Tamandua tetradactyla: one gene and its partners. The protein of the gene in region 2 purifies or fractionates together with the protein of the main gene of each other region. This does not show direct contact. Links are inferred from orthologs where the notes say so. Each region holds a gene or a part of one and is shown on either strand. Other genes may lie near its edges. The genes, in order: MED12L, MED4, POLR2B and GIT1.

Evidence for each region.
Region 1: the proteins of MED4 (region 2) and MED12L purify together in Homo sapiens (affinity purification with mass spectrometry; 3 studies listed by BioGRID and IntAct, with this or other methods). This does not show direct contact. The link is inferred for Tamandua tetradactyla from reciprocal best matches to the Homo sapiens genes MED4 and MED12L.
Region 3: the proteins of MED4 (region 2) and POLR2B purify together in Homo sapiens (affinity purification with mass spectrometry; 3 studies listed by BioGRID and IntAct, with this or other methods). This does not show direct contact. The link is inferred for Tamandua tetradactyla from reciprocal best matches to the Homo sapiens genes MED4 and POLR2B.
Region 4: the proteins of MED4 (region 2) and GIT1 purify together in Homo sapiens (affinity purification with mass spectrometry; 3 studies listed by BioGRID and IntAct, with this or other methods). This does not show direct contact. The link is inferred for Tamandua tetradactyla from reciprocal best matches to the Homo sapiens genes MED4 and GIT1.

The regions. Positions count from the first base shown.
Region 1 is NC_135331.1:44,633,726-44,640,974, forward strand, and holds the start of MED12L (mediator of RNA polymerase II transcription subunit 12-like protein), read left to right. Parts: upstream 1-4,246; 5' UTR 4,247-4,482; intron 4,483-5,333; 5' UTR 5,334-5,462; coding exon 5,463-5,561; intron 5,562-7,249. UniProt on the Homo sapiens protein: May be a component of the Mediator complex, a coactivator involved in the regulated transcription of nearly all RNA polymerase II-dependent genes.
Region 2 is NC_135330.1:110,209,647-110,217,129, forward strand, and holds the start of MED4 (mediator of RNA polymerase II transcription subunit 4), read left to right. Parts: upstream 1-4,478; 5' UTR 4,479-4,518; coding exon 4,519-4,643; intron 4,644-4,672; exon of another isoform or gene 4,673-5,123; intron 5,124-5,137; exon of another isoform or gene 5,138-5,302; intron 5,303-7,483. UniProt on the Homo sapiens protein: Component of the Mediator complex, a coactivator involved in the regulated transcription of nearly all RNA polymerase II-dependent genes.
Region 3 is NC_135345.1:57,601,054-57,608,016, forward strand, and holds the start of POLR2B (DNA-directed RNA polymerase II subunit RPB2), read left to right. Parts: upstream 1-3,947; 5' UTR 3,948-4,068; coding exon 4,069-4,087; intron 4,088-6,963. Other genes in the region: NOA1 (nitric oxide-associated protein 1), read right to left, coding at 318-523, 1,075-1,239, 2,165-3,314. UniProt on the Homo sapiens protein: Catalytic core component of RNA polymerase II (Pol II), a DNA-dependent RNA polymerase which synthesizes mRNA precursors and many functional non-coding RNAs using the four ribonucleoside triphosphates as substrates.
Region 4 is NC_135332.1:52,835,452-52,843,219, reverse strand, and holds the start of GIT1 (ARF GTPase-activating protein GIT1), read left to right. Parts: upstream 1-4,765; 5' UTR 4,766-4,843; coding exon 4,844-4,895; intron 4,896-7,768. UniProt on the Homo sapiens protein: GTPase-activating protein for ADP ribosylation factor family members, including ARF1.

The DNA of each region.
Region 1 (7,249 bases), on a different chromosome or scaffold from region 2:
AAGAATATCAGGAGTTCTCCAGGTTGGGAAGTTTAATAGTTTCACACTTTTCTCCAGTCCCTTAAGGGGACTTCGCAATTTTTTTTTCTGCCCAAAATACATTAGAATGCATCAGGGTATTACCTTAACCTGTACAGAATAACAAGATTTCACTCCCTATTCTAGGTTCCATGTAATTATGATGTTTAAATAAACTGATTAGACAGGTTAAATTAGATAGTGTATTTCAGAAAATTTAAATTTTGGACTAAATAGACATCTCTTCCTTTGGTCTCACATGGAAGTTGAGGTTTTAAAACACAGACAATATCATTTTTTTACACTGTATTCTGCTTTACCTTAATCCTAACCAGGTCCATTTCTTTAATATATTTAATTGAGGTCTTTTGATCTCTTTTTCAGCTTACCAGTTGGGGTATGGAGTAATGCTGACTATCAGAGCTGCAGAACTCTATGTCTGAGTCTCTAGTATCACACAGATACCCCAATTCCAGGGAACTACCAGGTTATATACAAAGAGCATAGCATCTCAGAATTTAGAAATAACAGCTAAAACTCAGGAACAGATGTGACTGCTATACGATCTCACTTTCTAGGAACCTTTACAATGAACCTTACTGAACCTTCTGTACTCCTTAATCATTCTCTGCCCAAGTTGTATCCCCTGATAACCTATGATCTCAGATTCAATTCTTAGGGTTTGCTCGTTATAGTTAGTTTATATTAGAGACCATACCATATTTGTCCTTTCATTTGTCTTATTTCACTCAACATAATATCCTCAAGAATTATTTTACCTAATTGCATGCCTCACGATTCCATTCCTTTCTGCCGCCACTCCATATTCTGTCGTATGTATACCCCACAGTATGTCCTTCTCTTCACCAGTCGATGTATTCTTAGGCTACCTCCATCCATTGCAAGCTACGAATAATGCCACCATTAATACCAGTGTACAAATGTCTACTCCTGTCCCTGCTTTCAGGTTTTCCGAGTATATACCTAATAATGTGGTTGCAGGATCATATGGCAACTCTATACTTAGCTACTTCTGTGGAGCCACCACACTGCCCTCCAGAGGGGCTGCACCTTTCTACTTCTCCACCAACAGTGAATAGGTATCTCTCTCTCTCTCCACACTTTCTCCAGTACTTGTACCTTGTGTTTATTTTTTACACAGTTTTATTCACCAACAAACAATCCATCCTAAGTGTACAATCAATGGCTCCCAGTATTATCACATAGTTATGTATTTCCATTTCTCCCCCTAAGAAAGAAGAGGAGAGAGAGAGAGAGAAAAAAAGGAGAAACATCAACAATAAGAATTCCATATCCCCCCACCATAACCTCCTTTTATTGGCATTTAGCTTTGGTTTATTTCCTTTGTTACAATTAATGAAAGCATATTACAATGTTACTGTTAGCTATAGACCTCAGTTTGGATTAATTGTATTTTTTCCATATACCATCCCATTTTTAACACCTTGCAATGGTGACATTCATTTGTTCTCTCTCATATAGAAGCTTTCTTATATTTGTATATTTAATTACCATCCTTGGCCACTCTAGATTTTGCTAAGTTATAGAGTCCCAGTTTTTGTGCTCTCTCTTTCCTTCTTGTGTCCTATGTGCCCCTAGCCTACCACTTTTCCATACAGAATCTTAACGCTATCAGGAATAGGAGATGGATAGCTCAAGAAGAATCACCTGCGATTTCCATGCTGCAAATAGGGGTAAGTGCTAACTGGGGCAAAGGGGAAGGAGAAAGAATGAGTTTGGTAGGTAGAGGTGGACTGCAAAGATCCCAAATGTAAGGGCAAGGAAGGAACCAAATGTCTATGGGAAATCTATGTAGTGAAAGAATGATTTTGGAGGAGGCTTATCAATTAAAGCTGTTCTGAGGACCTCACAACATCCTACTTATCGCTACCTCCAGTAACAAGAATTACTGTCCCTGGGTCTGAGGCCCACACCAATCAGTGCTCTGAGAGAACTGAGACTTTTCTGGCCAATGAGGGGGTACAGTGAGCAACAAGGCACTTTCAGAAATAGGCCTGATGACTATTATACAGATGACCTGTAACAACAGCATGAAAACAGAATCGGTCATATGGTACCTTAGGACGCATGCCCCTGAATGAGACACCATCATAGCTGACAGGTGACGAAGCAGACACTGGGTTATAACATAACCTGACTTGTGTACATTCTTCTTCAAGTCAAGAGAGGCAAGACTGATTTGATAGGACCAGGGGCAAAGGTTCCAAGACCTTTCCCTTCCAAGCTTCTGGTGACTGTGGAATCTGAGGGGGATTTTCAATAAATAGCTTGATGTACCCACCTGTTCCCTTGGCAGAAACCCACTTTCCCTCGTCTTTGTTTTAATGCCATGTGTGGCACAGAATTATGCAGAACCCTGTTTTAGTGCAAGCACTTTCTTCCCACTTGTAACTCGTAAATACAGAGCATGTGTGGTGTTAGAGCCTCAAGGGTTTTGGAAGGGAAAAGGGGAGAAGGTGGTGCTTTAGGAAAGAGGATTTTCAAGGTAGGTATTTCAGTCATTACTATTTTTTTTATCCCATTGTATTGTATGCATTTCTTTTGGCCCTCTCACTCCTTTTTTTTTGGAATGAGGCTGTGCAAAATATTAAGCACAGACTTTATGTGTCTTAAAAATAAAACAGGTGCAGTCACGAAGATAGAGGAACCAAGACAAAATAGGGGAGGACCTTGGGAGAATTAGCTGTAACCATAACTTAGATTGACAAACAGCAGATTTGAGTGGGGCTAGTAACAACAAGTCCTTACTTAGTGTTAGTGATCAGATGTTTAGTAACCAGATGTTTAGGAAACCTCTCAGGGATGTAACCGAAATTCATTCACCCGTGAGTCTGCCAGCGTGTTGGGTCTTGGGGAGAGTGGCAAAACTTTGATAACTGCTGTGGCTGGATAATGAGTTCTTGCGGGTTCATTATACTATGCCCTCTACTCTTTGGTACATTTGATCATTTTCCTAACAAGGTTATATTATATGTCCTTTCTTTCAAGCAAGAGCTAGACTGATAACATAAAGGCAAGTTCAACCAACCATTATGCTGCACTCACAGTATGAGTGGAACAGAAGCCCCTGGAGTAGGGTGTTCAGGAAGTGCTTCCTGATGGCGGTTCATTGTGTCTATAAATTCCTGCTCAGATTGAGTTAGGAAGCCCAAAACTACAGGTCTGATTTAGCCTCAGGTATAGGTTCAAGTGTTTAGGACTCAAGGTCAGGACGGAGGAACTAGCTGCTAGCAGGGTGTCATCTCCTTATCTACTTCCTTCTTTCCCCTTTGTTTGAAGTCAGCAGAGGTAAGCAGATATTCGGTACATCCAACATTTCCTGGGCATCTACAATGTGCAGCTGCCGCACAAATGCTTAGATTCTGCCTGGACCATTTTATAGGGGAGGGAAATGGGAGTCCGAGAAATTCCTCAAGTTGTGATGAACGCGACACAATCGGGCACCTGCGCGCCAGGAAACTCCGGGGAGAATAGATCAGAAACTTGGGATCAGGCAGAGGTAAATTCAAATCACGACTAGCTTCGAGGCTTTCAGCAAGTCACTTGACCTCCCTTGAACCGACTTCATTTCTCCATCTATTAAAAGGGTACAGGAAATCCTGTAAGTTGTGCAGTTTATCGAGCTTGACTGTCAAAATCCCGGCAAGAAGAGAGGGCTCCATAAATGGCAGCCATCATTCTTCTCGGCCAAGTGCGGGTGCATCCTCCGGGGCGCGCCTCCCGCGGGCTCCCCCGGGACACGCTGGGCCCGCCCCCGCGGCGGCCTCGCAGTGCTCGCGGCAGGTGGCCCAGCATCCTGGCGCCCACGCCCCAAACAAGCGGGGAGTGCGGGTGGGTGGGACGATCGAGATCTCTCCTAGACTATCCGCTGCCCCTCCCTCTACGCGCCCGGCGCAGGTGAGGTTTCCAGCCGGGGCCAAGGGGACAGCGACCTCTGGAGAGGTCGAGGCGGAGAGCGCAGCTTGCGGCCCGGAGTGCGGTGCTGGGGACGCCCCCTCCCTTGCCCGGCTTCACCCCAGGGCCATCCCCGGCGCTTGGGCCCGCAGGCTGCGCGCTCTGCGGCTGCGAAAACCCGGAGAGGCGGATCGGAGCGCGCTCCCAGCGCTGGCAGCCAACTCCTCCGCGGTCCGGCAGCCGAGCTGGGCATGCTCAGTGCGGCCGCCGCGCTGCCGTCCGCCAACTAGGAAGCTCGCGCTCCCGGGCTGTGGGGGCGAGAACGCCGGCGGCTGCGAGCCGGCGTCGTCCGCCGCCCCCAGACAGTGGCAAACTTCGTGGCGTCCCCGGAGCTCGCCTGGACTAGACTTGATACCTTACAAATAAAATAAAATCGAGTTCCCTAATCCTAACCCGAATCATGGAGGCTGCGGCCGCCAGAGTGCCCCCGCCGCCGCCGGCCCCTGCCCGCTAGCCAGTGACCAACAGGTAAACTGTTGGGGGGTGGGGGTGGAGGAGCTGCGGCCGGGGGGGAGGGCGGCGGGCTGGAGGAGCCCGAGACGCCCGCAGTCTGTCAGCCCCGATCTGCGCTCGCTGCCGCCCCTCTCGACCCGCCCCCAACCCGCCTCTGGAGGGTCAACAAAGGGTTAAGTCGGCCCCGCGCCACAGAGAGCACGGCCGGCTCCAGCCGCCGCTGCCGCCGCGACCACCAGCAGCGCGTCTCGGCGCCTGCCCGGAGCCGCGGAAGGGACCCGAGTCGCGGATGCGCCACCGGAGCCCAGCGGGAGTCTAGGAGGCACCGGCCGCTCCTCAGCTGCCCGCAGCCCTCCTCCAACCCCTCTAGGCCTCCCTCCCTCCGCACCGGCCGGGTCCGCGCCCAGGTGGCGGGGTCTGCAGGGCGCGCGGCGGCGGGGGAAGGGTCCTTGAGGCGAAAGAGGGATGGGGGCGGGCCGCTCCGCCGTCCCCTCCCTGGGGAGACGGGCCCCTTTGCCTTGGGCGAGCACTTGAGCCACCCGCTTAGTCGCCAAGAAAAGTTTTTTTTTCCTCCCCGCGCCCCTCCCCCACCCCCACCCAGGGCCCAGCTGGCGTGGGTTTGGGTCCATTGGTGAAAAAAGTCACACGTTCCCATCAGCTGCTCCTCCCCCTAGGGACGGGGCGGGGGCGGGAGGCGGGCGCCGCGGAGGACCCAGGCAGACCTCCTGGTACCTCCGCCGCCTCCGCCGGAGCGCCGCGTCCCGGGGCCCGAGCGCAGCCAGGTGCCCGCCGAAGCCTGCCCCCATCAGTGCATGTCTGCGTGTCGGGCAGCGGCAGCATCCAACCTGCTTTATTCCTGCCTGCAGCGCCACAGCGAGTGAACGAGCAAGGAGGGGGAGAGAGGGAGTCTGTCTGCAAAGTGCTGCTCCCTGGTGCTCAGAGGCGGCTGCTCCAGCTCCAACTCTCATTCATTTCGCCGGTTAACATGAGAGATCATGGCCGCCTTCGGGCTTCTCAGCTATGAGCAGAGACCGCTGAAGCGCCCCCGGCTTGGGCCGCCCGACGTCTATCCCCAGGACCCCAAGCAGAAGGAGGTGAGGACGTTGTCGGCCTCCCCGGCACCCGGGGCCGCGCTCTGCAGCGCTGACCCGGGGCCAAGTTGGCCCAGCGGGCATCGTCGGCGCTACGGGGGAGGGGTCGTGGAGGGGGGGCTGGAGGCGGGGGCCGGCCTGGGTCCCCCGCGGCGGAGACCCAGCGGCAGTCAGTCCCTGCGCTCCACTGGGGCGCTCGCTTTCCCGGTGTCGGGTCGCTTCCCGGTTATCGGGCCTTGCACCGCGCCGCTGGGTGCTTCACGGGGTTTTTCATTGCTGAAACCCTCCTACTCGCTCTCCCCCGCTCCTGCCTGCTTTATTCCCCCCCAGCCGCTTCGGTAAATCCTCGTAAACTTTTTGAAAAATGTTGGAATGCAGTGCATCCGACGCCGAGGTCTTGCGTTTTGCGCCAGTTGAGCCGAGAAGTGGAGAGGGGGAGGTGATGGTCGGGAGCATCTTTTCTCGTCTCAGATTTTCCAGTTTGGAATGGAAGTCGTTCTTGTCGGGGTGATAAATAATTTAGCTTTCTGAATATACTTTTGCACCCCCTCTCCCCTTTAAAAATCAATATTTAGGAGAAACACTGATTTTCGTCTCCAGAGGCGATTGGATTAATTGCTGAGGCTGTTTTATGTATGTGAAAGGAGGGAGATTACCTTGGAAGGGAATAAGTCCAGGATTGCTTATTCCTTTGAATGAAATTAATTGGAGAAACCTTGACACTTGCACCAGGTACCACTAGCTTCAGTGGCGAGGGTAACCATGGCATTTTGTAGTCATGTATGTGTTTGTCAAGAGTTAACAAGTACTTATGTAACAACTCTCCAGTTATAATGATCACCCTTGGCTACACGATTTGCCCAGGGACTTGCCTTTTTTTTTTTTTTTTAAGATCACCTGCTCCCCAGCTGTACTACAGAATTTGTCAGCTGCAGCCCACGTATTCTCTGCCCTCTTCATCTAAACAGGAGCTGACCACATTTCAGAACTTATCTTTTTGGAGATCTAAATTTCTCTATTAAAAGTTTACAGGGCCACCATGTAATGGAAAGGGTCTTGCAAATAAGGTGAGGAGGGGTCCTTAAGACTTCCCTTTGATAAATGTGTATATTTTGATATTAGAGGAAGAATGCTTGTTCTGGTTAAGCTGTTTTATTAATAATATGTCTGAAAAATAAGGAGGGACAACTCTTTTTAGAGGTTTCACACATTAAATATGTTTGAGCATCAGTAGAGTAGTGCAGATTGAAGCTGGGGAGGTTTCCCAGGTGTTTCCCAGGAGAGGCTCATCGTGAGGACAGGTGAGTTTGAAGTTCTGCAGCTTTCTTCCCCACTCAGTTCTGTCCATGCATCCCTGCACCAGAATAATGTGGATTGCTGAGGACCAAGAGTAGAGAAAAGTTCCAAAGAGTGCTCATTTACCAAAGGGTAATAACTTAAGAATTGTTGTTAGCAAATCCTTAAAGGTTTGGTGGGGACAGAAGCATTTGTTGGCTGATCTCTAGCGTCTCATAATTGATATCTTGCTACATCTTTCCACAGTTGTCATAACTGGTGACACCTCCCCAGTTATGAGATGGTGGCTTGCGATGCCAAGTGGGCCTCTTTGGCATTTCATTATTTTGGGCCACACTCAAGTCAGGATTGGGACCGCTGCGATTCTTGAAATAATAATTTTGAATTTCAGGGTC
Region 2 (7,483 bases):
TTTGCTTCAGCAGCCTAGGAAACTAAAAGAGAATCTAATTCAGGATTTTTACTCATTCATACTAGACTCTTTCCATCTAAATAAGGAAACTGGTAAGATATTTAATGGATGGCTCCTTTCTGATATTGATTCCTTACTGGAGTTTCTCCCTTCTCTCCCCTGCCAATCTTCTTGCTTCACCTGCAACACTTAGCTCTTATGAGTTTCTGCCTCTATCTCCTCAAAGAAGCATTGTCAACTGCTGTCTTGTTCACCTTTATAGCGCCAGCCTTCAGTGTGGTACCTGGTATAAAAACAGAGCTTAATAAACACTGTTGAAAGAATAAATGAATCTATCAAAAGAGGCCAGTGATGATGCCCACCTTTCCTTTGAGTACTGAGAGGTGGCAAGTTTCCAAGGAAGCCTAGAGAATTTCAGGGAAGAGATAAGACTTTACTTTTAGAAAGCCTGATTAGTTCTACATGACCTTTTCCACTGCAACCACACCACAAATATTTAAAGGCAATGAAAGGTTCAACCTAAACTGTTTTTCCTCTCAAGGCACAAGAATGTAGGGAGTCAATGTCAAATGCCACACTTCCTGCAAGGCTAATGACTTTAATAACATTGAGTGATTTTGGACAATGGGTGGTTTTTGTTGTGTTGTGACTTTGGAATGAGGAAGATAGGAGTATTCTGATGAAGATTTCACAGTGTAAGGAGGACAGGAAACTTCTACTGATGTAGTGCTGCCCTATTTGGATTTAACTGAGATGATCTGGTTTATTAAGTGCAGTTAAAATGGCACATTTTGAGACATTCTTGAGATTGATTTAAAAGTTGGTTTTCCTTCCCTAAAAGCCATCAGTTTGCTCAAACCCAACCACTGGTGGCATTTCCAGAGGTGTTTTATGGTTTCAGAAACCATAAATGGTGGTTCTTGGTATTAGAGCTTCATCCTAAATTGTGTAATATTTTTTACTAGGGATTAGACTTTCTGAGACCCAGACTTTGAGGTGGAGTCTAAAGGTTTTTTGTTTCTTGGAGAGGGAAGCTAATGAACGCAACAGCCTGCTTGTCTTCTCTCATTGCCCAGACTTCTGGGAGAGGAATGCCTGTGACTGATTCTCCATCCCACCCTTGGCAGGCTTGATCTTGAACATGAGCCTACAAATTTACTTAGGGAACTGGCTGTGAGAAAAGCATTCAGAACAGAAGAGGCTTGGATTCTTTACATAGACTAAAGTCTATGTTTCTTTAGTTGCATGGCTCCCAGGAAAATGGCTGCCACATGGCTGCAGAATATTCCATATTTGGTTGAGGAAGTTATAAATATTTGGAGTTTTTGAGAATCTTCAAGGAGCATGTGGAAAGGAAATATTGAGAATAAAGTTTTGCTGTTCAGAGGCAAAAATACAGATCATTATAATTTTTTTATTGTCTTTTATTCCTATTTGAGTCTGGCTTTTGGTGATCTCAGCACCACAGTCAACAATAAATCCAATGATATTTATTAGTGCCTACTTGTGTCAGTCATCATTCTAGACACTGGAAATGTGTCAGTAAGCCAAAGAGACAAAGTACTCTGCCCTCTTGGAGCTTACATATAACGGAAGACATAATTAGCAAAACCGTATCAACTTAACTGTATAGGATGTTAGAAGATGATAAGCATGATGGGAAAAAAGTAAAAAGGAATAAACATGATGGAATGTGGTAGTCAGACTGCAATAGTAAATAGGGTGGGCATCTTTGATGAAATAAGATTTGAGGAAGTCTTGGAGGAAGTGAGGAAGTTGACCATGTGGCCTTCTGGGGCCAATGGATTGTACTTCCATGTACATTTCCTATGAAAAAGGCTATTCACTTATGTAGCCACCTTAAATGCAGTTATCAAGTTCAAGAAATTTAGCGTTGATAAAAAGCTTACACTCTGCATGCCAATTTTTTCTTATGCCCCAGTAATGACCTTCTGAGCCTTTTTCCTCCATTCTTGGATCCTGTCCACATTTAGGATTGCATTTCATTTTCATTATCTAAACTTGAGCTTTAGGAGAATCACTCTGTCTGCAGCTGAGAACAGTTAGGAGACAACTTCAGCAAATGAGGTCGAGAGATGAGGAGGTATAGACCTGGTAGCAGTGGAAAGGGTGGAAAGCCAAGTCCTGGACACATTCTGAAGGCAGAACCATCTTGATCTCCTGAAGGATTGGACGTGGTGAATGGTTAATTAAAAAAAAAAAAAAAAAAAAAAGGAGAGGAGTCAAGGATAACTATAAGGTTATGAATCTTAATAGATTAAGAAAATGCTTAGCATCCAAAGTTACCATTAACTCAGTAAATGAAAGCTTTATGAAATAACATGTATTTTATTTATCACACCTAGAGCTGCATATTTTGCAAAAAAGTTCATTTGTAGAAGATGTTATTACTTCTCAGAAAGTTGGCAATGCTCAGAGTGCATATGAATTTGCAATAAATATGAGATGCTTTAGAGTTCACAATAAACATATAATCACCATAAACTGACCCTCGATGCATAGTAAATGTATAGTAAAGTAGGACCTATAATTGGTCATTTTTAACCATTTGGAACTCTCCCAGAATTTATGTGGGAACTTATATTAATAAGATCTCCCCTCTAGGGCTCACCAGTATCACAGACCAAAATTTTCCTTTCAGAGTTAAGTAAACAAAATCACCATACTACAAGAGTTTGGCACCTTTAACTTAACGCAAGAAATTACTTACTGGAGATTCTGGGAGGCATGCTTAGAATGCTACTGCAATTAAGAAAGCTTACATCTAATTTATTCTATTGCCTGAAGTTGGGGGATGGTCCGAACACAAAAGGTGGGAGTCCCTCTCCTGAACTCTCTAGGGAAGGAGCCATGCTACCAATTAACACAAATATTACAGTCTCTTAAACACTAAATATCTTTACACTGGGGAGATACAAAACCTGTTGAAAGCATTCATCAAGATCCAACTGTCTTCATTTGTTTCCACCTGTTCTAGTTTGCTAACTGCCAGAATGCAATATACCAGAAACAGAATGGCTTTTAAAGGGGGGAAATTTATTAGGTTGCCAGTTTACAGTTCTAAGGCTGTGAAAATGTCCCAATTAAAGCAAGTCTATAAAAATGTCCAAATTAAGGCACCAACAAGAGGTTACCTTCACTCAAGAAAGGCTGACGAAGTTCAGGGTTTCTCTCTCAACTGGAAAGGCCTATGGTGAACAGGGCGACATCTGCTAGCTTTCTCTCCAGGTTTCTTGTTTCAGAAGTTTCTCCTGGACATTTTCCTTCTTCATCTTCAAAGGTCTCTGGCTGCATGGGCTCTCGTGCTTCTCGTGGCTCTGAAGCTTTTTGCAAAATGTTTCCTCTTTTAAAGGAGTCTAGTAAACAAATCAAGACCCAGCTGGAATAGATGGGTAATACCCATCTAATCAAAGGGTAATACCCACAATTGGGTGTGTCATATCTCCATAGAAATAATCTAACCAAGATTCTAACCTACAGTGCTGAATAGGGATTAAAAGAAATGGCTGGTCCACAAGATGGATCAGGATTAAAACATGGCTTTTGTATGGTACACAATCCTTTCAAACTGGCACACATCCAAGGTCATGAACCAGCATTCTGGGGGATGATTTGGTTTCCCGTGTAGGATTCTCTAAGGCGTTATTATTTTTCCCGATAAGTAAATAAATTGGCATTCTGGTTTATACCGCAATTACTAGCGAGAGAATTTATTTAGCATCAATCCCCAAAGGAAGCATCACTTCTGGGTGCACAGTGCCAGTCAGGTTCAGTACTTCCAAAAGGACGGGCCATGATCCTGCAAATACTCCAGCCTTACTCTCAGAAGTCTTCAGGTGACATCTCTATGACAGGGACCTGGTATGGGGTCCTCACTCCCCAAACTGTTGCAGCTTTAAGCTTCCCTGGTAGGAAAATCCCCTTTTCCACAGTTGTCTCCAGGAGAGGTGAGCTACTTGAGACTTAAGTGGGCAAAAGTGGATTTTCGGCTTTGGCTTTGGGTTCTGATTGAGCTCACCGGATGTGTGATCCAATTCTTCATGTAAACGGTTCTCATTAACCACTACTGACATATTATACTAATTCATTCTACTCAACAGCCATCTCAAGAAATCCTTAGGAGCCCAGCCTCTGCGGAAACAGCCTCCTCGAAAGGCAAGGATGGAGGGTTAGAAGAGCATTATAGGCATGCAGATTTCACGAGTAAACTGACACAAGCAGTAGGCGATTATTTAATTTCCATTCAGCCAAAATCTCCAGCTCCCGATGGAAAAACCCTACGTACTCTCACTAAGGTACCGCTCTGGCCGGTCGGGTTTGGACCAAGGATCCCCTCTGGTCCAGCAGATGGCGCCAAAACCCACAGTGTACTTCCGGGCACCTTGGGGACGCTCTGGTCAGGACTCTCCCTCGCCTCGCCTCGGTGACCTTTCCTTCCGCCTCCCGAGCTCGTCATTTCCGACGCTCGCATGCGCCGGCTACTGGCGGTTGGGGAGGATGGCGGCCTCTTCGAGTTTGGAGAAGGAGAAGGATCGATTCGGAGGCGGCCCGGGAGCGGCCAGCGGAAACAGCACGCGGGAGCGGCTGTTTTCGGCGCTGGAAGATCTGGAGGTCTTGTCGAGGTAAAGCCGCTGGCCTGAAGGCCGGTGGAGTAGGGCCGGGAGGGTGGACCCCGGAGCTGGGCAACCCCGCGATGAGCTTCTTGGAGTTCGGCGGGAAGGGTCGTGCTCGGGCAACGCCGGCACGTACCCCCAACGACAGTGCACCAGTATCCGCGATGTGGCCTCCGCAACCCTCCCGGGATCCGAGGCCGCGCTTTTCCCCATCAGCGCATATGAATAATGACAATAACTCTGGAATCCCAAGGCTACGATAGCCATATTGGGTCTTGGACATCACCCGGTCCTCCAACACCCAACAAGCATTTATGGAACGCCCCCTGGGTGCCAGGCGATAGGAAGGCTGTAGTGAACGGGAGTCTGGTTACCATCCTGGAGGAGCTCAGTGTCAAGAGGGAGAGGCAAACGTGTGAACAGCGACTTCGATGCGGAGCTTGTTTTTATCAGAGGCGTGGCTGCGGGCTCCTGTAGCATAAGGACCAGGTCTGCTCCGATGCCTAGGTAGTCAGAGAAGACTCCCTGGAGAAAGGGCTGCTCAGGACGGAGTTCAGTAGGCTCACCGGGCGGCGGGATGATGGAAGAGCAAGTACAAAGGCGCGACTTGCTGGTGTAATTAATTCCAAGTTGTTTGGGGTGGATGTAGTGCAGCGTGTGGCCTAGAGGTAGGAGATTGTCTTTCTCCATGTTCTGTCACCCTTAATGGTACTGTAAAGTTGGAGCCTTCCGTAATCCAGTCACATTCACTTGGGTGTTAAATTGTATTGTTTCTATCTCCTGAAATGTTGCTCAGATTTGCTCTCATTTCCATCCCCGCTGTCACAACTATTTTTTAAGGTATCCTCCCGACAGCTTTACTTGCCTTCATGCTTCTGCACTTTATTCTGTATTGCCCAAGAGCAGAGTTATCGTTCTGAAATAGGCATCTCTTGTGACTTCTTATCTTAAAAACATTTGATGGGTTTGTTCCCATTGTCCGATGAGGTAAAGTCCAGGTTCCTTAGTTTAGTGTGCAAGTAGGTGTGTTGTAAGGTTCTTTATATAGATAGCCAGGAATAGCAGGACAAGTGATAACTAGAGATGTTTGAAAGAAGAGTTTATTAGTCCTTAAAAGTCCTGGAATAGAGAGGAGTGGCATGACTTGCAGGCTCACATGGGAGAACATGTCAGGAATGTATGCTCAACCAAGCAGGTGCGTAGCAAAGGTTACAGTGGACCTGAGACTGTGCATTTGTGATGTTATAGGGGCAGAGCTCTAGCGATTAGTCAAGAAAGAGCAGGGATTGGGGAGTTTGTATTTGACTTTTGCAGGGGTATGAACCCGGGGAAGAGAGGGAGAAGCTGTTTATCTTATATAAATAGGTGTCAGGACTGTTCACTGACAGTGTGTAAAGTCCCTATTTTCTTTTAATTCACTCTGTGCAGTCCTTCCCTATCTCCTCTCAATCCACTCTGTTATCCTCCTGTACCACCACATCAGTCTATACCCTTCACTCCAAGATTAGTACTCCCCACCCTCAAAAAGTACTACTTACTCAACTTCACTGCCATTCTCCATCTCCTACTTGGTGAATCATTCATTCGTCTTTCAGAATCCAGCTCGTGTCATCTTTTCTGTAGCCAACATTTGTTGATAGCTCTAGAATAAATTTTACGTATTGTGTTTTGAAATATACCTAACTAAATTGCTGTAAATTTAGTTCTTGCCATCATATTACTTACCAAGTTACTAGGTTAGCCTGATATTAAATATATAAGAAAAACCTCAAACACATGGACACCAGTATTTGTCCTTATGTAGCTTATGTGTTTAATTCAGTGTTTAGTTTGTATTAAACTCGAATACTGCCTGATGGCAAACAATGTTGGAATCTTCATTTGTGGTCAGTGGTGAATGAAAAACTCATAAGCACAGGCAGCTGTCTTAATGTTTTGCCTTGGTGTAAATGTTTACGCATTTTAATGTAAGTGCTATTTCTGTCTAGGTCTTTGCTGGTTTTGTAGATTGTGGTGGAGAACTTAACAGTTTCCTTGTTAATCCTCTTGAATGAAGACCCACGTTATTTCTTAGGAAAAGGACACTAACAAGATTGAGAGTTGGTAGTATAATGTTTCCAGTTAAATTATTTATGACTCAGAACTGTATAAGGTAACTGTTTTGGGGACAGCAAATAGAAGCTTCGTTTAGTTCACATTGTGCTCTTTTTCTTTTTAAGTTATTAAACTCTAAATCATCCCACAAATGCTCTTCATTTGAAAAACTCAGTTTTCTCAACCTCAGCACAGCTCTGTGTAGATGTAACTTTAAACTCATTGCTGGAGCAAACTAAGTCTCTTAAATACTTTGATACAAATGTTGTTCTGATACAAATCTGAATTCCATTTGATTCAGAACAACTAATACTTAGCTGGAAAATACTTCTTTTGCTTCTGTCTAAACCAGTTCTTCCAGTTTCTTGAATTCTGGATCTCATTCTGCTTGAACTATGGCTTTTGAGCTATTTCTTCTGTGAGCATTCTAACCTGAAAGTTGACTTCAAGCAACTGTGCTTAGGAATCTTGATGGTACTGTTAAGTTTGAAATTCATGGAGTTAAAGTGTCCTTTTTTTTAAAATCAGTTTTATGGTATGGATGGTACCAATGAACTTTTCTGTAAATATATTATCTTGGTAGTGGCACTCCTCCAGGAAATAGTTGCCGCTGCCTCTTGTTCTGAGTAGGTCTTCATCTTAGATCTTCAAATCTTTGCCTTTTCGGTTCATTCAATGAATGGGCTGTTACTTCTCACTGTTATGCTCTAGAGCCCTGTAAATTCTTTACTTTTCTGAGCTTTACTTGGTGTAAC
Region 3 (6,963 bases), on a different chromosome or scaffold from region 2:
AATTCAAGCATGGAATAAGTAGTTGAACTGCAGCAGTAATGTCTGAGATTTCCTTCCAACCTCAAAGGTCTAGGATTCTGTAAATGTCTCTTAACCAACATTAACACCCACAATGATAATGCAAATAGGTTGTCAGCAGTGAAGTCTACCAAATATAATGCAGTACTAGAAGGTATATGGAGTCATCTGTGAATTGCTTCTATGAATGAATCAGAACTGAGTCTAAAATGAAAGTATAGTCCCTTTTCTTGTTTCTGCCAATTAATACAGTACTTACACAATGACAGTTAATATTTCTAAAACAAACCAATACATACACAATTTTCCTTTGTAATTCCAGGAGTATCATAAAACCAGTGGGAATCTTTCACATCTTGTGGGGTCAATTCTACTTTTTTGGTGGATTTTTCTGCAACCAGAACAGGTTCATTTTCCATGTCAACGGCAAGTGAATCAGCATCAAACTCAAAGGCAGCTTCATCCGTCTTTTCTTTTGAGTATAGGAATGTTTTTCCAACTCTTCCTGGAATAAGTTATCAGGTGCTCCTTTAAAACTTTTGACTCCAGACAGTTTTTTGCTTGTTTCAAATAAATTACTAACTACAGCAAATGGAAACAATGCTATCTTTGTAACAAAGCATGAGAGTTACACTGTTGCAATGATCAAGTGTGTGTCTGGCTGGGCACACATGGGGGGTGGGGGAAGGTTGGAAATCAAACTTTTTAATAAAGGAAGGCTGAAAAGGGATACCAAGGAAAGGGGACAGCTCAGTTTTTAAGCTGCTGCATGAAATGAACAGTCTTTACTATCTGTAACGGTCTACCTGGCAGAGGGAATAGCTTGGGGAAAATGCTTCTACCACTGACATTGTCTAGGTGGACAGTTATTGCATGCTTCCTTTCCTGGACTTCTCTAAGTATCACAATCTCCATTTTCACAGATTACTGAACTTCCAAAAAGTAGCCATGCTTTAAAAGGGCTCTAAGTTCTAATGACCAGACAGCTGTATTTCAGGTTGCTCAACAAAGAATTTTGGCATAGAACCATTACGTTTTCCTGTGGAAGATGCTTACCTACTATATAACCATGCTTTTTCAAGATATTAAGTTGACTTTGTTCTTGCTTAGTAAGAGCTTCTTCAGATTCAGCCGCATCTTTTTTAAGCCTCTTGTGCCTTTCAAACATTCTGTAAGGAGTTGGGTTGCAAATAGGAAACCTAAGAAGGTTTAATGTAGTACCTGAAATACCAAAGAATAAGTATGTTTTTATAAACATTGTACCAAAAAAGGGAGTAAAAGGAGGAAAACTATCAGTTTTGAGGAGCTACACTGTGTTCTATCTTAATCAACCCTTGATATGACCCTCTATAAAATTATTTTCATTTTAGAGATGAGGAAACAGTCTCAGAGACTGGATCATAGCCTAGACTAGGATTTGAATTCTAGTTCCTGTAGGCTTAAATTTTTTCCATTTTCACCATGCTACCATTCAGTACAAAAGCACGTCTATGTATAATGCAACTAAAGTGTAAGCAAGATAGGGAAGAAAAACAGTTTACCAAACAAAATTAAACTGATTTCAAAGGAATAAACGGGGCAGCTAGTAACACTAAAGAGTCAACTGTTAAATACAAACATGGTCACAGAAGGAGCCATTTACAGAAACTTCTGTGACAAAGTAGACATTTCTTCTCAACAAAGCCACATATATTGCATTAGTGAATTACTCAAATGTTAAACATGCATAGCATACTTTCTCATGAATAAACTCAAGACGTGGGGAGTAGGATTGCAGAGTGAAAGGAAGTTCATGGAGTAAAAGGAAGCACGACTTTTGGGAGGAACATAAAACTAGAAGGCTATAAGGGAAACGTCCAAGAGGGTAGGACGTTTCCTGGCGTATCGCCATTTCCTAGAACAGCGACTGACACAAAGAAGTGCTCCATAAGTATTTCCACTAGAAAATTAGTAAAAAAATATATAGTATCTCCAAGCACTAAACTGACTCAGAAAAGAGACTAGTGTCCTAAGGAGAGAATTTTAAAAGGAAAGATTCCAGGCACCCCCTGGTGGACATTATACAGAGATGTAATCGGAGCCTCGGGCCACCACCAGACATCCGTCTTCTCAGAGAGCGAAAAAGGCCGAGGCTCTTAAGGCTCACCTGGCCATGGGGAGATGGTAGCTCTGTCGATGGCCTCCGCGCCCTTGGCGGTGCAGTAGTCCGACTCCAGGAGTGTGTTGAAGAGAGTGGACTTGCCGGCGTTGGTGCCGCCGACCAGGTAGACATCGCCGCGGTAGCGCCAAGAGCGCTGAAGCGCGGTGATCAACTCTTCCACCCCGTAACCGGTCTTGGCGCTGATCAGCCGCACGTCCCTGAGCACCGTACGGTGCTGGGACGGCGGATTCCGTTTCTCCGCCAGCTCCCGAGACCCATTTCTGCCCGGGTCCTGTGGCCCCTGGTGGCTAGGGGATGGCCGGAGCCCGGCGCGGACACAGTCATCCCAAAGACGATCGCGGAGCCGACGACGGTAGCCCGGGGTGTCTTGGGGCAGCAGGTCCACCTTGTTCCCCAGCACGATCAGCTGCTTGGGGCCCACCATCGCAGGCAGGTCGGGCAGCAGGGCATCGGGCAGGTCCAGCAGATCTACCATGTAGAGCACCAAGGAGGGCCCGGGTCGCCGCAGTGCGGCGCTCACCAGCTCCAGGTACTGCTCGCGGCTCACCTGCACGCGCAGGGCGCGCTGGTGGTGCACCAGTAGCCAGCAGCGCTGGCACACCGTCCGCGCTAGCCCGCCGTCCTCCTGCGCCGCTGCACTGAGGAACTTCTCGCTGGGCAGGTAGCCAGGCACGCTGGGATCCTGGCAATGTAACTCCGCTCCACAGCCCGAGCAGCTCACGCCGCTGGACGGCACCGCCGGGTCTGGATGCCCCATTATCTGGTGCTCCCGACATCTGGCCCGTACCTTCTGCAGCTGCCGCTGCTCCCGCCGCCGTTGCCTCTGCCGCTCCTCCTCCTCCTGCCGCTGCCGTAGCTCCTCCAGCAGCTCTTCGGAGGTCGGTGCGGGCTTTGACTCCAGGATGTACTCGGGGAACAGAAAACGCTCCTCCAAGTCGGGACTTCCACCATAGTCCCGAGTCGCCGTCGGGCCACGAGGAAACTCACGTCCCAGGTTGGAGAAGTGCTGGAAGAAGGAAGCGGCCGTACATCCCCTCCCGAGAAGGGGCTCCGGGAGGCCATGGCGCACTACCACGGGAGCCGATCCCCACAGTAAAGGCCACAGAACTCGGCGCGTTAGAAACGCGGGCAGCATGAGGAACACCGCCCTCCGGCAAAGAGGCGGAGACACGTGCGCACACGCGCACTGGGGCCGGGAGACGAGCTCCTGCTGGTGCCTGGGAGTGGTCACTTGTCACCTGCCTCATCCGGTTCTTCTTTCCACGTCTCATCCCGTGAATTCTCGCGATTGGAGCGCTCTGCTGCAATTGCACCAAGGCCCTAAATAGAAACCTAGACCGGCAGAAGATGATAATGAGCGCTTTGGTTTGTTCATTAAGCTTCTTCAGTGCGCCTCCGCCGGCAAGCCCCTTTCTCCCCTTAGTAAATCACATTTTTGAAAAGCTTAGTGATTTTTGGATTTCAGGAGTGCAAAAAAATAGAAGTGCGGACTCACGGGTCACAATTAAAATCTTTTATTAATAAATCTTTTTGGTTTTTTTGCAGGAGCAAAAAAATGTAACAACAGTGAAAAAACAAAAATCTTCCCAGATATCTTTTGCTGACCGGATCCGACAGGCAAACTACAGTCAGAACTAGCAATCAGCCACGGCGCCATCGGTTTACAATTTGCGCATGCGCAAATTTAACCCCGGACAACCTTACGCTACTATTTGCGCAGACTCAATCCTACAGTTGACTTCTCGTGGGAGGGTTTTAGGTGTAAAACGCAGAGTATTCTGGGAACGTCCCAGACGGAAGTCGTATGGTTTGTGTCTCTGGTTTGCTGCTGCTGCGCTGCATTCTCTCTCAGATTTCTAGAGTTAAGAGCTCGGGAACCGGTTGCCAAAATGTATGACGCGGATGAGGGTAGGTGACCACTCAAAATACGCTTCACGGTGACCCATTTAGGGAGGGAAATTTGGGGAATTGGGTGGATAGAGGATTTGCGGCCTCCCCTCGCCCACTGCACGAGTGGTTTCAGTCATGCTTCCCTACCCCCGCAGGCCGGGAGCGAAGAACATACTGCGTGGGATGGAAGATGCGGGGAAATAGCGTTGATGGTCTCCATACAGTTGGCTCTTATATTTCCCCTATCTCTATTATCTGTGCTGTTAATTCTGATGTCTCCTTACCGTATTGCAAAAGCGTACGGAATCGTTAAGACAAGTTCGTTGTTTTAACGAGGTCTGAAGCAAAGGGCCCCCTTTTTTATTTTTTGGGTTCACAGTTGTCCTGTTTATTGCGTAGTTCAAATTTTGAGCATCGGTTTTGTGCCAGGCATTGAGCTAGGCCCTGAAAATACACCGGAGACAAAGAATGCAGCAGGGGAAGAGATTGCATCTAGTTTGGCCTACCTTCATGTTTTCTTAAGTCTAAATTGTCTTCAAAAAATTACTTTTAAACTTTCTTCTCCCACAAGATGACACAGTTCTAAGATGGTTCAATATATCTTATTTTCTTTTCACTTATATATTTCTTAGTGTATCTTCATGTTGTGTTTTTAAACCTTCCTCTTCCGTTTCTACAGCTGCTATTTCATACTTCATTCTCTTCGAATTTACCATCCCATGGCCACCCCTCACTCTTTTTTCGTTCCTTTAGCTACTTCTCGGAGAAAATAGAAGCAAAAGCTTAAAATACTGCTCTGACTTCTCTGTCTCATTACATCTTTTATCTAGAAATTTATTAGCATTACATTCCTTTATTCTCTTAATTCCTGTTTCAGTGGGAATAAATTTTTAAAGAAGTTTTTTATCTTATTTTTAAGTAGGTAATATATTTTATGGCTCGCAAGTCAGAAAATACAAAAATGTTGAATGTCAGGATTCATTCTTGTTTATCATGTGTCCACAATAGATTAACAAATGTTCTTAGATTCTTATCGCTTTCCAGTGTATCTTATACATATCCAAGCAAAAATAAATGGGATTCTGTATTTTTCTCCCTTTTACAGGCAAAAAGTAGCACTCACACTTTTCTGTACTTTTTTGTTTGCTTGCTTAATACAGCTAGGAGATTTAAATATCAATAGATAGAAAGCTTTCTCCTTTTATTTTTCTCTACAGCAGCTTACTTTGTGTGGATGTACCATAACTCAAGTCTTTTGCTGATGGGCAGTCCTTTTCTAGTTCAAAGATGTTGTAATGAATAATCTTGTACTTATGTCATTTGTATGTCTGTAGTCTGTAAGGTAACGTATGTCTGTAAGATAAACTCCTACATGTGAAATTGATGTATCAAATGATACATATATTTAACATTTTGATAGATGGTGCCAAATGACCGCCATACCTGAGTACTCCCATCTGCCTCCCCAAAATTCTAGAAGTGGTACTGCAATAACGAGGTAGTCACATGGAAAAAAAATGAAATGTGACCCCCACTACACAGCATACAAAAAAAAAAAAGACGAACATAGTGGTTGTACTAATTTAGTTTCCCAGTGGCAATTTAACTTTTTTAAAAAAAATTAAGCTTATCCTGTCAAGTCTTTGCTCTGGCATCAAGTCTACATTCCATTCCTTTGAAATATTTATTAGATATCCCTTCATCAGTTTTCAGGAATTTCTTTTCACTAGCTTCTTTTTATGAGAAAATATCAGAGCTTTCTCATCCTCAGGAAACCGTTTAAGCCCTCTTTCCATCATTTCCTTTTTCTTCCAAAATTTTGCCTTTCTCCTTCCATTCATAGCTAAGCTTCTAGAAGGAATAGGCTATACATGTTGCTTCTAATTCACGTGGTTCATTTTCTCCTCAACCCTTTGCAGTCGGATTCTGCTCATGCCACTATATTAAAACAGCTCTTAATAGGATAAACAGTGACTTGTCAGTTGATAAATTAGATGAACATTTAAAAAAATATATTTTTACAGTAAAAGCTTAACATACAAATATATATTCTTTGACATAAAAACATACCATACATGGTGTACAATCAATGGCTCATAATATCATCTCACAGTTGTATGTATGTTCATCACCATGATCATTTTTTGAACATCTGCATCACCCCAGCAAAAGAAATGAAAAGAAAAAAGATAACACTCAAACATCCCTCACCCCCCTCTCATTGACCACTAGTGTTACCATCTACCCAATTTATTTTACCCTTTGTCCCCCCCATTATTTATTTATTTATTTTTAATCCATATTTTTTACTCATCTATCCATACCCTGGATATGAGGAGCATCAGACACAAGGTTCTCACAATCACACAGTCACATTATAAATGTTATGTGAACATTTTTAAAACTTCATCTTGAACACTGTGGCATTTGGCATAGTTGTTGACTTTGTCCTGGAAACTCACTCCTCCTTTTGCCATGTCACTTTCGCTTGATTCTTCTTACCTTGCAGACTTTTCTTTTCATTCTCTTCTGTTCACATTCATAGCCACTCTTTCTCCTTGAGGGTTCTGTCTGTTAAGTATGTCAAATCTGGTCATTTCTCTCCTATCCACTCTGTCACAGTTGTGGTTCAGACCACTACCGTCACTTGCCTAGATCACTTCCCCAGACTGGTTTCTCTACCTCCAGTCTTACATCTCCTATCCACTTTCCACATTGTGGCCATAATGGCATAATATCCTTTCCAAAATGAAAGCCTGATAATGCCACACCCCTGCTAGTTTGGTTCCTCAGAACTCTTGATAATGACCAACCCTCCTTACCACTTCCAACTTCCAGTTCAGTGATTTAGCTACATTAACCTTCTTTCATTCCTTGGGTGTGCTACACTCTCC
Region 4 (7,768 bases), on a different chromosome or scaffold from region 2:
CTGACAAGTCCCTTACGAGCCTGGCCAAAAGGGTCCCCCTTTCTGCATTCCTCCTTCCTATCGGGGTCTCGCAGCTCCAGGGACTCTGCCCAGTCACGAGAAAATAAGAGAAAGCGCTCACCATAAGGATAGCAAGCCCTGGGTGGGGCTGGGATGCCTGGGAGTGTCACACAGCCTATTCCTTGATCCTTGACCTGTGACCCCCCTCCTCACCCAGGCCTTTCCCACCTCCGCATGGCCACACTCATGCGGGAGGTGTCCCTGTTCGGCAGAATGGGGAGGATTCTCCACCACATGGAATCCAGACCGATCCGGCAGCCCCTCCCCGCAGCCCTCACTGGCCCGGGGGAGGAGGGGCACAGTGTCCCCTGTCCCAATCTAGGAGGGTCCGGAACACTTGAGGGTCGCCAGTCCCGGCCGGAGGGGGCGGGGGGGGGGCCGCTCCCATCAACCTCTCGCGGTCAACAAACACAAAAGCCGCGGCCGCGAACAAAGAATCTCTAACTCGCCGGGGAGGCGGGACAGCCCGCGCCGCGCCCCCTCCCCACGCCGGGCGGGCGTGCCCAGCCGCGGGGTCCCCGCGGCGTCCCGACGACGCTCTTACCTGGCCGGCGCGGACCTCTTTCTCCAGCTCGCGGTGGCGGTTGTGCCACACGAGGTAGTGCAGCGGATACTTGCCCTCGGGCCCCTTTCTGGCGGAGGCGCTGGCGGGGATCATCGCCCGCTCCTCATGCCGGGGCCGCGGCGCCCGGCCGGGGAGGAGGGACGGCGCCGGAGCCGGGGCCCGGGGCCGTGGGGCGGGGGGGGCGGCGCTCCCTGCTTGCAGGGCTGCGGCTCGGGCATGTGCGAGCGGCGCCGGCGGGCGGGGGCGGCGCACCCGGCGCGGTGCGGGCGGCGGGCGTCCTCGCGAAGCGGTCGCGGCGGCGACGGGCGGCGCGGAGAGGCCCCCACCCGCCCGGGGAGGGAGCGGGCACTCGGCGGCGCGGCGCGGGCTCGCGCCTCGCCTCCCACTCCCCCGCACACAAAGACGCGGCTCGGCGGAGGGAGCAGGCGCCCGCACTGGGCGCGGGGGCGCACTGGGAGCCGGCCCCCGGACGCCGCTGCCGCCGCGCCAGGGACGCGGGCCCGCAGCCCTCCGCTCCCCACAGCTGCATAGCCCGGCCCTATGCCCGAGCGGTCGGCTTGGGCTGCGGGGCTGCGGGGAAAAGAGGAGGGGGACCCGGGTGCCCCGGGCAGAGCCTCTTCTAGTCCGGCCCCGCGGCATCATGGGGCTTGTAGTCCGCCTCGTGGAGCTGGAAATGGCAGGTGGTGGAAAGGGTCCAGCGCGCTCTTTCTGTTCCCTAGAAATGGTGAGGAAGGAGTCGGATCTGGCCGAAACGGAGGAGTGTCTTGATGCCAGGTGGCCTGGGAAGCATCCCCCACCCGTTTGCATTTTGCCCTTTGCTGCAGAATATGGGGGGGTACAGACCCATCTTGAGCATTGGGGGACAGCAGGGGGAGGGAATGTGGCCTTCAGGGTCCTAGGATCCTAGGGGACGTGAGGAGGGATCCAGACTCCCAAAAAGTGGCCGAAAGGGAAATCCCTAAGAAAGGTGTGGGGTATCAGTACCAAGAGTTATTGGAGCAGCCAGACGCCCGACATCTGAAGTATTCTGAGGAGTCCAACCTTTCCTCTTAGAATATTAAATATTTGACGGGGTGGCGGGGAGTGAAGGCTCACTGGGGCGAGGAGGACAGTCCCTTCCAATGCACTGTCCTTAAGTAGAACCAGAGTGGGTTTGAGCAGGGAAAGCAGCAGGTGGCAGCTCCGCAGCCTGGGTGGCCCCCTCAGGAGAGGAAGTGACTGATTTCAGAGACTGAATGACCCCTCGGCAGAGAGGCCCTGCCAGAAGGGACCTCGGAGAGGGTGTGGTAAGTGTGGAATTGATTGCCCTCCGGGGCTCCCTGTTGCTAGAGCTGGAAGGACCTAGAGGCCCAACCCAAGGAGGTTCAGCCCAAGAACTGTGCTGTGAGACAGAACTGAGTTCGAATTCAAACGCCTAAATATGTGACCATAGGTAAATTGCTTAAATTTTCTGCATTTCTGGAACCACTTACCTCTAAAATGTGACTCTGGATATTACGTCTTTAGGTGATCTCAGGATATTATGGTCCTCGAATCGGTGCCCCTCCCTCCCCCATCCAGGCGGACACCAGAAGCAGGTGGCCTTCTGGAGTCCACCTTAGAATAAGGCAGAAAGAAGGGATTCCACTCCCTCTTAGAACAACTATGGAAGAAGTGTTTGTGTGTGGGAGGTGCCAGCAAATGCTTGTAAACTCTCCGCTCCTCTCTCAGGCTTTTTTGTGTGGTCTTTCCTTCCTCCTCCACACCCTGCGGTGCCAGACCCCGGTGGGAAGGGATGAGGGAGGAGCGAACTGCCGCGCCCCTTTCTCTAGGCTGGGAGGAGCCAGCTAGCGTCTCCGGCCGCTGGGGACCGCTGCCCTCCTACACCACCAGAGGTCAGCAGAGTGTCGTGCCTGCGGCCGGAGATGGGGAGGGGGCTGCTGAGGGGGAGGGGCGGCTAGGAGTGGCCGGGTAGATTCTTGTACATTTTCTCATTAAATTATTTTTAGAATCTTGTGTGTGATTTCCTTTTAGTTTAGCAGTCCTTCATCCTGGAGTGGCAGCATCTCCACAGAGAAATCAAGTCCTTTTATTCCTAGCCCCAAATCCAGAAATTCGGCCGCGGAGGGGCCGGGGGCTTCTGTAACAAAGTTTGGGGAATGGGATCCGTGCCTGGGTCAATTCCAGGTAGTCCACCGGCCAACCTGGAGATGAGGCTGGAATAGGGGTGAATCATCCTCCTGCAAAGCCCGGGAGCACAGGGCGGTAGCCTGGGGTAGGGGTGGGTAGGGTTAGGGGTAGAGGGGCTCAGCCTGGAGCGGGGCAGCCTACCCCAGGCGGCCAGAGACACCAAACCGTCCTGAGCGCTGTGGCTGCCACGTGCTCGAGACGCTCCCACACAGCAGAGAAACAAAGACAGCCAAACGACCCGGCTGCCAGAAGCTGCCTTGACATTTAATAAATGAAATTCCAGAGCTGGGGGGGGGGTCGATTCGGGGTGAACGGACGGGCACCACTCGTGGGCTGCTCGCAGGATCCGGGCGACCACGCAGCACCTCCTATCACCATCAAAGCCGTGGACTCTGAGCCCGCGCGGTACGGGGCCGCAGGTGGTGCACCCCTCCTTTCCCCCAACCCCCGCCTGCGAGATATCTTTGCTGGCAGAAGTCCCGGCAGCTGAGCGGCTGGCTGCCTATAGGGGGAAGGGAGGCTTGCAAGAGATTCTTTTAAGGTGCGATTTTAAATATACCCTGTGGATCGCGATTTCAAGCAAACTTGTCAATCTAGGCTGCCGCAAAAAGCGATGGAGGCAGCTTTGCATATATTTCGGGTGGTGACTCATGAGAATTACTTGTCTCCCCAGGGAAGCAGCCTGCCCACCCACAAATCACTGCCGGCACTGGTGCCACTGGGAAAAATCGACCAACTCTGGCACCCCGGCCCAAGGAACACCCCCTCCACCTCCACCCCAGTTAATGAGAAGGACTCCCTGTTGCTTGGGGAATGTTCCCTTAACCTTGCGCCCCAGACCTGGCCCTCAAGCCTAGTCCTGAGCACCTCTGCCCTCTCTCCCCACACCTCTTGCCACTGGAGGGATGGGAGCTGGATGCAAGCTGGGCACAGTGTATGGGGGAGCATGGTCAGTGACGGGGTTCGCCCACGTGTGGCCTGCACTTTCACTCCATGGGCCTCGGCCTGTCTGCACAGCATCCGTGTGAAGTCCAGAAAGAGGCAATCACAAGAAACTGGCCCCATATGTTATATGCACGCTCTGGACTCACACCTCTAGTGGCCCAGAGACAAGGTGGATATACATAAAACAAATGACAAGTAGAGATTTCTGCACACCAGCCGGGTGGTCCCCTCCTCTGTCGGTCTTTAAGAACCACCCAGTTTCTTTCCTCTGAATGGAAGCATGGTGAGGCAAGATTTATTCTTTAGCCCGGAGGCAGCGGGTTACCTTGCGGACCCTCTCTGGCACCTGGGGGGTCTACACTGTGAGCAGGTGTGCGTACTCAGTAAGAGTGTGACCAAACACTCTGGCGTGGGCATCTGGTGGCCCAGAACGCATCCCTCATTCCCCCAAAAGAGAACTGTCACAGCCCTTTGACAGGGAGGAGGACCTCGGCCTCCATCTCCTTCCTTCTCTTTCCTGATTTCACCCAACCCCCGACTCACCATCCCCAGCTCTCAGCAGCCCCTGAGCCACCCCTAGCCCCAAAAGTGGAGGGGTTAGGGCTGTGAAGGTGACTTACACTGCCTCCGGGCTTGGGGAGCACCGGAGCAGAGACTCGGCCCCAGGCGACGCTGTGCGCCAGCGGCCGTGCCGCGATTGCGGCCCCTTTAAGCGCCCCCCCCCCACGCCCGCGCTCCCGGCTTCCTTTCTCCCGGAGGCGCGGCGGGCGGGGCGGGGATGCAGTTGCCCCTCCCCCGGTGGGCAGGGCCTGTGCTGCTTCCTGCCGGAGCGGCCCGGAGCCGCGTAGGGGGCGGAGAGAGCGAGCGGAGAGCGGCGGCGGGGCGGCGCGGGGCCGCGCGGGGCGGAGGGCGCCCGAGGGCGAGCGGGCAGGCGGGCGCCGCGGGTTCCGGGCCGGCCCCGGGGGCGGACGGTTGGCCAGGCGCGCTGAGCCTAGCCGGGGCCTTGCCGGAGCCGGGCCGGGCAGCAGGGGCCGCCGCCTCCCGGGCCCGCCGCCCGCGCCCCCCACGCTGGCCCAGAGGGCTGCGGCCGCTTCGCCGCTGAGGATGTCCCGGAAGGGGCCGCGAGCGGAGGTGTGTGCGGACTGCAGCGCTCCGGGTAAGCGCGGCCGGGCCGGGGGCGGGACCATGCACCGGGGCCGCCGCCGGGCAGGCGCCGGGGCCTGGCTGTAGCGCCGTGCGGGGCCGGAGGGCGGGGCGGGGTGCTGCGGCCTCCGGCCTCGGCTCCCACCAGGGCCACTGCGGAGCCGCGTCCTTGGCGGGAGGAGCGGCCTGGGGTCCCCGGGCCCCTCGCGTCCGTGGACTAGCGAGGAAGGGCATTCCCGGCGACTCCTCCCACCCTTCGGTCTGAGGGAGGCGAGCAGCTAGCTCCCCCACCCCCCCACCTCCATCTCAGTATCCAAACGGAAGCGCCAGCCTGGGATGGCAGGATGGCTGTGGCAGAGGCCGGAGGGTTTAGGAGGTGGGGGCGAGTGTGGTTTTGTCATCTCTGTTCCACCTCCGCGTCCTGCACCTGCTGCTTGTATGGTCTGTGCGCCTGCGGGGTTAGCGGAGGGCAAAGGGCAGAGAGCTGGGCAGATGCGTTGGGGCCTGGATACTGTTTTCTTGGAAGCAGATACCTACTCATACGATGTCCTGCCTCCAGTTCCTAAGGAATCTCCGGGGCCTGCTGGAGATTGGGAACAGATAACCTCAGCTTTTCCTGCTCTCCGGTGAGGCCTGCTTGGGAAAGCAGGCCTGACACTAGTGCCTGGGCCCGGACCCCTCCCGGTCCCCTGGCCCACCTAGTCCGAGCAGAATCAGGTAGGGGGGCAGTGGCAAGAGGTGCCCAGATTTCCTGGATTAAGCTGACTTCCTGGCCTGCCCCCTGGCAGTATATACTCTGGTGTTTCCCTTCCCTTCAGGGTCAGGTTCGGCTGGTGTGAATCCCCCTGGCCTGATGAGGAAGTGATGGACAGTGACCTGAGAGGCGCCTCCTGTCATGTGGGAGGACACTGCCTGTGAGGGGCTGCTAGCAGCTGGCTTGAGGAAGGAAGCTTGACCCTTGTCCATGTTCTCTTTAGAAAATGGGCAGGCTCTTTCTCGAGGAAATCCCTGGGCAGACTCAGGGGGGCAGGTCTGTGAACCCCTGGTGCTATGTGGGCACAATTAAGTGTGAGGGTGTAAAGTCCTGTTTTATGGGCCCATAGCGTTCAGCCATCCCTTGGACAGGCCCAGATTCCAACAGGTTCAGCCCCACAGATGCGCCGGTGGTTCTGGTGTGTGTGTTTGGGAATGGTGGGTGTGTTCCCGGCAGAGACATGGACACAGGGTGCTTTGTGGGTAGTTATGACATGCTTTGTAGGGCCCTGCAGGAGCTGGGAGGGGGGTGCTCTCTCCCCTTATTGGCTGGCAACCATGACCGTCTTTCCCCAACCACTGGCAGACCTGGGGATAGAAACTTGTCTTTTGTCTGTCCCAGGCTGTTCTGCATCTCTGCTGGGTGGGTATAGACTGGGCGGGAGGCCTGGAGACAGCAAGGAGGGCTGTGGGGTCTGAGCAAACACCCAGTAATGGAAGCTTGGATCTTAGTGTTGCTTTTGCTTCCAGCTTACTCTGACCCATGGCAAGACTTCCCTCACTCTGGGCCTTAGTTTCCACAACTGGAAGGCAAAGAAGTTGGCTTAGAAATGGTATTTGAGGGCCCTCCTCCCTTCTCCGAATCCGTGGTCCTAACTGAGCAGAGGGGCTTAGGGCAGCATCAGCATGGCAGCTGTACTGTATTGCACACTTGGCATGCCTGAGGCCTCTGGGTGCCCAGTGGGCTGGATGAGGTGGGTGCACGTCTGTTGTGTTGGAGTGCCCAGCTTCTATTCTATCCCCAGTCCTTGTCCAACACAGGGATTCGTGCCCTGGTTACCTTCTTTTCTTCTGATCCAGAATACAGGTCAGGAAGAGGCAGGCGATGAGACGGGTAAAGATGGCGAGGTGGGCAGGGTGTTGACAGAGCCTTTGTTGTCACTTCACCCCAGCACCTGTGTGGTTTCTGGCACACACAGGTGCTTCCCAAGTGCTTGGAGGCTTGTGTAGACCTCAGCTGGTGGCTTGGGGCTTCCCCGTCCCCCCCACCCTGTGACGCTGGCCCTGGCATGAGGGACCATTCTCAGTCAGGGTTCTGTATCAGCCCAGGGAAGAGGGGTGAGGATATCAATGTGGAATCCGCACCAGAAACCACCCCCTCACTATGATAGGGGTCCTGCACCATTAGTCTTGGAGATGGGGTTGTGGTCTTCTTGTGTTTGTTTAATTTGGGGGGATCTTGGAGGTGAAAAGTGAGGTACAGTGTAAGAGTCCAGACAGCGCAATGCTCCCAGGCCTGGGTACGCAGGGGACAAGTGTGAGTATGTGGTGAGGCAGTTGAACGTGGTATGACTGCTGGGCCACCTTGTCTGGTGCCATCTGTGTCCCTGCCTGCCCTTGGGAGTGCGAAAGAGGGGCAGGGATCTGGGACCCCCTCTCCTCTGCCCACCCTGCCACACACCCAGCCTTTAGAGGCTGGGGACAGCTCTCCAGGGTCTGCTTCTCAGCCCAGAGACCCTCCATCTCACACTTTCCGCTTTGGCAGCCCCAGGCACAGGAGTGAAGACCCCGGGGTGCCCCTGCTGTAGGTGCTGCCAGCCTTGAACATGTTACAAGAGAGCTTGCGGGTTCATTTGTCTCTTCATAACATGGCCGGAGGGGTGGGGTGAATGGTGGGCTTTTCTTTTTTAATCAAGGTGTAACGGATATGGTAAAGTGCCTTAAGCGTTCAGCCTGCAGAATTTTACCCGCCTTTAGACCTGTATAACCAGCACTCCCATCGAGACATTGCGCATTTCCAGCTCCCCAGTGCCTTGTGCCCCCCAAAAGGTAACCTCCCTTCTGGCCTATATCCCTATGGTGACTTTAACCTCTTTCCGGATGGTGGGCTTTGCCCTCTTGTCCAGCAGGTTA